Caenorhabditis elegans: one gene and its partner. The protein of the gene in region 2 interacts with the protein of the main gene of each other region in a pairwise test. Each region holds a gene or a part of one and is shown on either strand. Other genes may lie near its edges. The genes, in order: gras-1 and wrt-6.

Region 1 (3,605 bases), on a different chromosome or scaffold from region 2:
TAGCCACAGCTCGTTTCGTCTTGAAATACATTTTCACATCGGCAAAGCACCATCGAGAGCCTGAATATATGATTCACAAGATGATATTGTAATCTTACACGATTTTGGCATTCCTTCATGAAGGTGTACGGATTTATTCAGATGAGTCACGGGGCGAAGTTTAAGTTGCCATAAACTTTGCGCCGAGACCCATCTGAATAAATCCGTGCGACTTTAAGAGAGCATGTCAAGATCTCTGAATAAAAATAAAAAAGATCAGAAAATGTCATTTTTGAATTTCAAAAGTAAGTAAGTTAATCGGAGAACTCCCTCACCTTCAAGAACAGTCCTGTGAAGTGCCAACACTTTAGGCCATTTTCCAATAAATTGTTCATACTTGTAGGTCAAGGATCCTTCTTTAGCTGGAGTGGCTGGAGGTGGACCGGCTGATGTTTGTCTGAAGTAGAACACATTTTTTAGAGGGATAATATTGAATTTAACGGATACTCAGAATAAAACAGGTTTTAATGATGAAAAGGTCTACCTAACAGCAACAAGAAAAGTAGGCGAATTGAGCACACTGTTACTGCGATGAAGAAGAATCCTTGACAATGAGTGCATCTGTTTGAAAAAAAGTAGTTTTGTCAAGGAAAAACAAACGAAAAAGTAGAAAAGGCACAGAACCTCATGGATAATTGAAATAATTGTGTCAGGAATAGTAGATAAAACTTCATGTTATTTCCTGAAACTAATAGTATAACAGGCAGGCTAGAATCATAACCATGATCACAGGTTTGTGGGAATCAAAATGACTGGAATGGGAATAAAATGGCAAATTTTGGGCGGAGACAGGAAGTTAAAATACATATATGTACAACTATGTACCAGGGATCGAAATATATAATTAGAGTATACATGTTTACCCATGAGTGTTCAGAGATAAACGTGAAAATATGAAAGACATTGATTTTACTAGAGACGCGTGACTTGGGGAGTTCCAACAGACGTGCTACTGTTGATGCGAATGAGATGGCGATAATCAGTGCCGTTTGCTTCCTTTTCTTGTGGATTTTGTACATTTTTTAGCTCCTCATCAAGTTCGTAAAGCGTGCTTTCAAGTGATTCGTCTTCCTCCTCATTGCCATCTAAAATTGTTACAAATAATCAAAATAATAACCGTAAACTCGACTTACGTTCATCGTCATATAATGCTTGCAAATCTTCTTCCGTCTTTTCGAGCATCCTCAATTCTCTAATTTTTGCATCGAGCATGAATCGTAACTGAATCGACCGCATGCTCAATTCCACGATTCTTGCTACATCTTTGAAGACCAGAACGAGACTGACTTGAAGACACTGAGCAATTGATTCGACGATTTCTGCATGGGAGGCAGTGACGACGCTTTTTTCATTGACAGCAATGACCATGTCGCCTAAAATTGCAGTAGTTGGCAGGAAAAGCTGAATTAAATGATTGAATACCTCGTGTTATCCCGCAGCGATCAGCTGGGCTATCAGCCGACACGTAATCCACATAAGTTATTCTTTCGTAACTGTTTGAAGATGTTCTTTTGAATACATATGATTGGAGAGCAAAGCCAAAGGAAGTTTCAAATGTTTGACGACATAGAAGAAGGCTCCGTTGTGCGGATTCTTGATTGATCCCATCGAAAAGATAATCATTCAGTGGATATTCTTCCTGTAGTAACGAATATTATGGTTGTTCTTCAATGGAGAATCAAATAATTACTTTTGCGTCACACAATAGTCGCTGTTCAGAAATATTGTCATCCGGCGTATCATATTTTGAAGAGCTCGAACTCGTGGAAACCGCACTATGAGCGTCGATGTGATCCATAAAAGCAGAAACTCTGAAATAACATATATTAAACAAAAAAACATGTTTTTAGAGTTTTTTAAATGTTTAAACAACACAAGACTCGAAACAAAGTCGATAAGTTGTAAAATTGGTGAGAAGATGAAAGGAAAAGCTAGAGACGAGAAACATGTACGCAAGCGCCAGATTCGACGCGCAAAGTTTATAATGGGAAATTCGGTAATAACTTTAGAAGAAAGCATATAAAATTATTAAACTTAAGTAAAAAGTGACTAAAACACAATCATCATGCAAAAAAATAAACGACTAAAAGACCAAACAAATGACTAGCGCGTGCGCACCTTTTCTTATTTGTTGTTGAAATATATGAAGGTTACGGTATTTACTGAAACACGCAAACACATGACACGCTTTCGAAATTTCAGCTTTCGAAAACTCGTTCCTAAATACTTTTCCTACTTTTGTGAAAATTCCCTTGATTTTTGTCAAAATAAGGATCATTCGCGATGAATGATTCTTATGCTGAATATATAGCACAAGTAAATGAGTTTACGAGGAATTTCTGTATGAATCCTCAGCGATATCTCGCTGGTAATCAGAGAGGTTTGTGGAAACTTTTAATGACCTAAGTTTCAAGTCGATTTTCAGATTTATCCCAGCCGCTTCCTCCACCTGTACTCTCTGGTGAAGCAGTTCTACCAACCAGTACTTCTGTTCCTCAGCAAATCGCGCAAACGGTTTTACTTTGTTTTCATATTCTGATTGATAAAATATGTTTCCAGAACATGGTTCGCTCAAGTGAAGTACCACCTCAATCTCTTCGACAGGAAATTCAATCATTTACATCGTCAGAGGTGCCCACTAGTAGTCAAGTTGCTGGAGTGAGAAACTCGTTCACACAAAGGCTTCTCCCAATCCAAGAATTGTCGAATTCCGAATCTGTCCCAGCCTTAGATACTGCGCTTGTTCCTTCCAGTTCCACTTTGGCAGCTTCATCACAACGTCGTCTTTCATCTCAATCAATTCCTGTCCTGGTTGGTTTTAACTTTTAATTCCCGTTTAATGAATTTTATTGACAGACACGCAAACTCGGTTCAGTTCAGCCTAAAGTGGATGAAGCTCCAGCTGAAATTATAAGAGAAGTGAACAACTTAAATATTCATCATGGAGCCAACAATCAGGGTGAAGTTCCGTCTTCCGAGTTGAACGCTGATCTCGATGGGGTTTTTGAAATGGTCCAGCGTCATCAGTTCCCGGTAAATTAGAGCTTTGCAGTTCTCTCAAAATTTTTTAGTTGCAGCGTCCAAGTGTATTGATTCCAGCAGAACAAATTGAACAAAGTACATGGCTTTCTGAGTCAAATGATGCTGCTATTAACATTTCTCAAAACAATGACGTCATCGATCCAAATAAAACAATACCATTCATTGCCAGCGGAAAGAGTATTGAAAACATTGATCTTCCATATCTTCCGGGTCAAACGGTTTTTCCTAACATGTTCACTGAATTAACTGCTCGTCTACGTTCCCAAGAGAGGGAAGAACTTCTCCGGCGAGAGTTGAATGAACTTAGTATGAATCAAGGAACATCAAATCAGTTTGATCAACAGCAAATGGTTTAAAAAAATTAAGAAAATGGGATTTAAATTAAATTCATTTTTTAGAATTCTCGTGTCATTCCGAATTCAATGGGTACTCTATGGGAATCATCAGAAACTGGTCAACAAGGTGGTACATCTTCCTCGTCTACCGTCCAAGCATTTCAACAAATGAACCAAACAGAGTACTGC
Region 2 (6,120 bases):
CCCTATACATGATTTTTAACAAAGTCCTCACTGGCGCAACTATACGTTTAATTTATAATTACTACTTTAATGAATTTCACATAATATTTCAAAAATATTTAAGTGTCTAGTTCGACAATCCTTTTAATGCTTCCCAAAAAGACACACGAGATATCATCTTTGAACATGTATCGTATGTTTTTTTACGACTGTAAGACTAATTTTTGAAAGCTCAATAATTGTTACCAATTCTTACCAATTGTTACCAGTTACCAATTTTTCTTGAAAACTTAACTAGATATAGTTTAAACAAGGAAAAATATGTACATACTTCTTCAATATTTCATCATCAATTTGAACACTTTTAAGTTTCATTTGTCCAAAAAATGACAAGTTTTCTGAAGTTTAAATAAAGTATTGCTTACAGCAAAAAGATTGATGCAAGACTATTAGAAGCTGCAAGACAAGAAAAATTTTCGATTAACCCGTAGTGGTGCAAGACTAATAGAGGAAGTACGGTACCTTATTTTTTGTAGGCTCTGAAAATGGAAAGCAAAATAAGGAAACATAAAGTGTTTGTACTCAATAAGTTATGTTTATTTTACAACATGGCAAGGCGACAGTGAAAGAAAGCAGCTGCAACCAAATGCACAATTCAACCGCATATTTTAACATCATTGCATAAAAAGCATAAGCAAGAAAAACATTATTAAACAACGTACAATTATTATAAACTTATACATATTAACTGATTAGTAATCATACAAATGATTGAGGAATAAACAAGTCCATGACACTTGTTAAAGTTTCGACTCCAACTGGAAGATCTCCCTCTTCTGTGGAGGATTTGAAGAACATCAAATTATGGAAAACACTTGAAGTACGTTTGTAGAGTGAGAAGAAAGTTTGTTGAAGTGACTTCAACGCCAAGTTGGAATGACAAGAAGCCAGAACTCGGTTGACAATAATATCTCCGGTGGAAGTAAGTGGAGAGTAGATTCCAGTTTCGATGACCTTGCTGATTTTGGATACCTTTTTCTTGATGACGACATTGCTGTCTGTGGTGACGTGAATGCAATCATCCATTTTGACTTCTTTCGCGGCGACCAATCTGGATAATTATTAGTTTACTTGTTGTTAAATCATTAATTTCTTACTTTAAGTCGGATCTAGTACGGCAGTCAGACACGTAGATCAAATGATTATCGGTCAGTTTAATTGAGTGACCATTGGCTGTTTCTATGAGATTGAATTCCGCGATCTCTTCATCCCGTTTGTGTAAAAACATGATAACGGGCGAATACGTCACAAAAGCCTCGTCCATGCTGAGAACCTTGTCGCCAATCTTGAGATCCTTGATCATCTTGATTCCGTCTTCTGTCTCTACCTCCATATCTCCGGAAAAACACTGCATGCCAGTTCCACCGAACAGCCCATTCAAATTCGGCTGAAGAATGACGTTATTTTTAAAATGAATTAAAATTGTTAATTAAAATACCGAGTATCCTCTTGCACTGTATGCTGGTTGATATGCTGGTTGGTAGGCTGGCTGGTAGGCTGGTTGATAGGCCGGTTGGTAGGCCGGTTGATATGCTGGTTGCTGCATTGCAGGGTACGCATTGTATTGACTTGCATCAGCAGTTGGATAACCACTATACGATCCAGAATATGAACCTGATTGAGGTGGCAGAGGCATTTCTGCTGGAGTCTGTGGGTAGGCTGGCGATTGAACGACAGGCGAAGCTGGGGCAACATTCTGCGACTAGAAAGTTAGTACTAGTAGAATTAGTTGACATTAGATGTATGGGTTAGTCTAAACTCACGTCAATGTAGTTGGAGCTCGGTGGTGGAGGAAGCGGCCCGGATTCTACTGAAGAATCACCATAGTTAGAAAGAGCGGCAGTTCCGTCTTGCATTGTCGTTAACAAACCTGTTTCTTTGTTGTACGTGTTGTCGGCAAATGTGCGGGAACGTTGTGGCGAGGAGTATTGCAGTGGCCAAAGAGCATTCTCGTTGTATGGAAGGCGGCTTCTTAAATTGGAAAATTTTTCGGCTTAAATAAAAATGCCGGATAAAATTTACTTTCTGAATGGTCGTCTCACAACTCGGAATTCGTAATCGTAATCATCATACATATCTTCGAGTCTTTGAAGGAGGGCACGTCTTCTCATTGCAAACGGACGTCTTCTCTCAGAGCGATAGTTTCTGTCTTCCTCATAATCATCGTATTTTCCAACTCTATCACGAAGCTTTCTTCTGTTTCTTGAAAGCAATGGAAGAGCTTCCTCGCCTGAAAACAGTGAAGCTTAAAATTGCAAAAATATTTCAAAATTTCAAAAAATTTACTTGAATCGGAGGTGGCTTCACAAGGCATGCGGTAGACACCAACAATATATTGAACTCTGAAATAAGAAACTTTGTTCCAAAAATACCCGATCATTTAAATTTCTCTTACTGATTATCTGCGTTGACAGTCTTCCTAATCTCCTTGATAAGATCGAATCCTGATTGCTCTCCATCCTTTTCCACCATTCCTCCTACAAACGATTGTCCTGGTCCAAGGAAGATGCTCTTGATTGTTTTCGCATCAGACATTCCTTCGTACGAACAACACTCGGTTTTCAATGTTCTATGTGTTCCGTTATTGATTTCCACAAGCCCAGAAGTCCATTGCAGGTCTTTGACGCAGACAATCTCCTTGAAAGGGTCGCAACTCTGGAAAAATATTCCAATGCTATACATCATTCAATCAAGTTTTATTATACTACGCCCGCCAAAAGTTTTTTCGGTCAACGACGACTCATCCGGAGGAACGATTCCGGTCATAGTGTTTCATGTACTTCTAATCTCGCATCGCAATTAATTGGCTTGCATACGTAGCTTGTTTGGTACGCTTGACGTCGTCACAATTAAAATAGGAACATCAAAAAAGATGAATAGGCTTCGGCCGAGACGAATCGGGCGAAGATTCAGTTAGCCACTTTAATTGGATAAGTCTCAAAGATCGTAAAGCTTAATGGGTGAAAGAAACATCCTTACATTCAAACAAGACACATTCGGGATGTATAATCAACGGGCGCACTGATCTAAGATAAAGCGATGATGTGAGAAAAATCGGAGATGGTGACAAATATATAGGTACGGTATGGATAAGATATTGAACCAATAGCAAGAAGCTTTGCAAAAAATTTTGTAGGATGCAATTCATCAATGTATTGAGACCCAAAAAAACTGAAATTTCGATGTTTTTTTTCTGAAACAGTTGTCTATGTTTTCTCTTCTATGAAAGTATTAGCTCTAACTACGTTTTCAAAATGTTTCTTCTTACAGAATAATTTTAATATTCTTCATATGTTTTAGCTTTTTTCTCTGCGATTTCTTCAAGGCTTCTATTTTTGTAATGAGTTCGGCGTTACTTCAAATAGATTTTTTAAATTGGGTTTGAAATGTTCAGAAAGCAAAAACCATAGTTTTCCAATTTTAGTTTAGATTATAGTTTTTTTTAAATTAGAATTGCGTCCTTATTGAATTTTTTTTTGAATGGTTTAGCTTTTCCATCTGTTAATTTCTACGAAATTGACTTTTTTTTAATGGCCGCTCTATTTTTCTTAATCGCACAAAATTATAGAGCCACTTACAGTCCAAGGATTATGTCCCCGAAAGAGTTTCTCTAAATAATCGATTTCTTAATAATTTTACTGCTAGGCGCCTAGGTCTTTCAAGTATCTCTCACCACATCCAAAACTCTTGGGCGTCTTGCTGCAGAGCTTGAAACTCCAAGGCAGGATGGCGCTTCACATGATATAACTGAAATGGATAATTTTTTGAGATGCTCTGGAAAATTAGTAAATACCTGGTTTTCCTTCGCTGTCTACTTCCATTTTGTAAGGAATTGAATTCGTACCACAAGATCCACCATCATGAATGGAATCCGCCAAAACTGCTCCAAATAGTAGGCAGAAACAATAAAACAAGTTGAGTAATGTCATTCTGGAAACAGAACAGCATACATATATATATTTTTGTTCTTATTGGAACGTTAATAATACAAGGATTTTAAAAGTCAGAATATTTTTAGCTTGAGCAATAAAATTTGGAAGACAATTTTCAAAAAAAGTGAAACGAAGAGAACTGGATAGTTTGGAACAAGAAGAAGAAAAAGAAAAAGACAATGAATAGAGTTGAATGAAGAAATCCGACGACACCGTGTAATTGTTGGATTACGGTGTTAAACCCAGCGGAGGGCAGGAAAAGGAGGCTGGGCGAATGAGGTCGGGATATGCAAGGTGGAAAAATTGCCAAAACATCCAACATGGCAAAACTACAGCTCTGGTCACTTTTATACGTTGGGAAGATACAAGCACCTCCCACCTCCTCGTTTTCCCGGTTTCCACTAATTTCAGCGCGTTTTTATGAATTAGTCCAGAAGATTGCCTTGTCTTCCCGCATCCGCCCGCCCACTTCTTCGTCCCGCCAAGATTTCTTCAGGAGGGGGGAGGGGAGGGCGAATCTGCACCTCTCCATTGGGAATCGCAAAGTCCGAAATAATTTCTCTATGTATGTGTATACTTTAGTTGCGGTCAATTTTGAAGAAGCATCGTGATGAGTGGATACAAGGTATGGAGGATATACAGCGAGAACGAAATCATTTTTGTATTTGAAGTGACTGCGATTGTAGGCGATGTGCGGGGGATTGAAGGAAAAGGAGAACAAGATCAGGGTTGTCGAAAAACTGAATCAAATCGGACTTGGTCAAGTACCTTGTTGAGTAGGTCAAGATATTGAAAACTGTGTATATTTTCTACAAGACATAAATGAACAATGCAAAAATATCAATACGCTTTTGTGTACCTTTTGGAAGATTTTTGTGATTCAAAGTTTTTACAACAGTTGAAATTGCTAAAAATTTTAATTTCTTTGTTTGGCAGCTCATATCACCAGACAAATCATTTGTGAATCATTTTTTTATAGTTGATATCTGTAAAATAAAAAGAAACTTAAGGTGTCAACAGGAAGTAATAAAGAACACTAATAGCGTAAAATAGTGTTGCATTAGTTTTTGAAGTTTTCCTCAGGTTTGTAAACTATTTAAAACAAGAAATGTGGTTAATTAAAATGCACGAACTTTTCCGCGAATTCTGGCAACTTTCCAACCTAATTTAGCAACTTTTTTTTTTTTTTTTTTTTTTTTTTTAATTTTAGCTATTTTTAATAATAAAAAATTTAGCAATCTTAACCTAGCTAACTTTCAGTAATTTTAAGTGCGCACTTTATCCTCAACTTCAACCAACTTTACACAAATGTTAGAACGGCACACACAATTTTGAAACAAATTAAAATTTTATTCATTTGCCAATTTGTTTATTTCCTTTAAACATGATATGCATTTTACTTCATTAAGCTAAGTGATGATTATTTCTTAAACCTGGGAATACAAAAAACTCCAGACGTTTTTATTTTTTATGACTTAAAATTTTAGATTTTTAATAAATAGGCAAATAGATATATATTGGTACTTGATGCCCACATTTTTAAAATAATTTGCTAATTTAAAAAAGATACAAATGTGTGGAATATGTTTTCTAATTCAAGGCTTTGGAAAAACCAACTCTAGTACTAAAAGTACCTTTCTTAATTGGAATATAGATGAAAATTAATTGATTTATTTAGTTTTAACATTGTCTAAAACACAATTACGGCAAATAAAGTTTCAGCCCTTTAAAGATACATTTTTATGGCATTTACTTCAAAATATATTTAAAATGCATGGTGGAAATACACATTCATTACGAAGATTATGATGTTTGTCTGTGCCCAAATATGCTTGACATATCAGTTTAAAGAAACTAGCTGCATTTTTTTTTGGACAGTACCAAAGTTCTGTGCTAAATCCAATTAAGCAATAAATTGCAGTTTTCACAGTACAAAATTTACGACAGTGTATCAGAGATTCCTTGTCTGATCCAGTTCGAACTGCAGAAAAAATTTGCCAGAACGATCGGAGTGCCAAAAAAACTTCAATAACACGACAAGACAAAGAACAAGCTTTGGGTCCAACTTCATGCAGAACATGATCTTTCGTTCTCCCTCGCCGTGTGATAACGTCATCAAATGATTTGGACGGCTTTGTAAATTTGCGGT

Evidence for each region.
Region 1: the proteins of wrt-6 (region 2) and gras-1 interact in a two-hybrid assay, tested with the Caenorhabditis elegans proteins (one large-scale study listed by BioGRID).

Annotation. Positions count from the first base shown.
Region 1 is NC_003279.8:7,834,059-7,837,663, reverse strand, and holds gras-1 (General receptor for phosphoinositides 1-associated scaffold protein 1 homolog), read right to left. Parts: upstream 1,857-3,605; 5' UTR 1,838-1,856; coding exon 1,730-1,837; intron 1,679-1,729; coding exon 1,462-1,678; intron 1,413-1,461; coding exon 1,173-1,412; intron 1,125-1,172; coding exon 952-1,124; 3' UTR 697-951; downstream 1-696. Other genes in the region: F30F8.9 (Letm1 RBD domain-containing protein), read right to left, coding at 1-60, 315-436, 524-600; F30F8.1 (RING-type domain-containing protein), read left to right, coding at 2,323-2,419, 2,465-2,553, 2,599-2,850, 2,896-3,072, 3,117-3,431, 3,480-3,605.
Region 2 is NC_003284.9:3,478,102-3,484,221, reverse strand, and holds wrt-6 (Warthog protein 6 N-product), read right to left. Parts: upstream 3,973-6,120; 5' UTR 3,969-3,972; coding exon 3,833-3,968; intron 3,787-3,832; coding exon 3,713-3,786; intron 2,695-3,712; coding exon 2,435-2,694; intron 2,382-2,434; coding exon 2,326-2,381; intron 2,270-2,325; coding exon 2,062-2,269; intron 2,011-2,061; coding exon 1,910-2,010; intron 1,850-1,909; coding exon 1,803-1,849; intron 1,736-1,802; coding exon 1,478-1,735; intron 1,427-1,477; coding exon 1,137-1,426; intron 1,091-1,136; coding exon 739-1,090; 3' UTR 556-738; downstream 1-555. UniProt on the Caenorhabditis elegans protein: Intercellular signal essential for a variety of patterning events during development.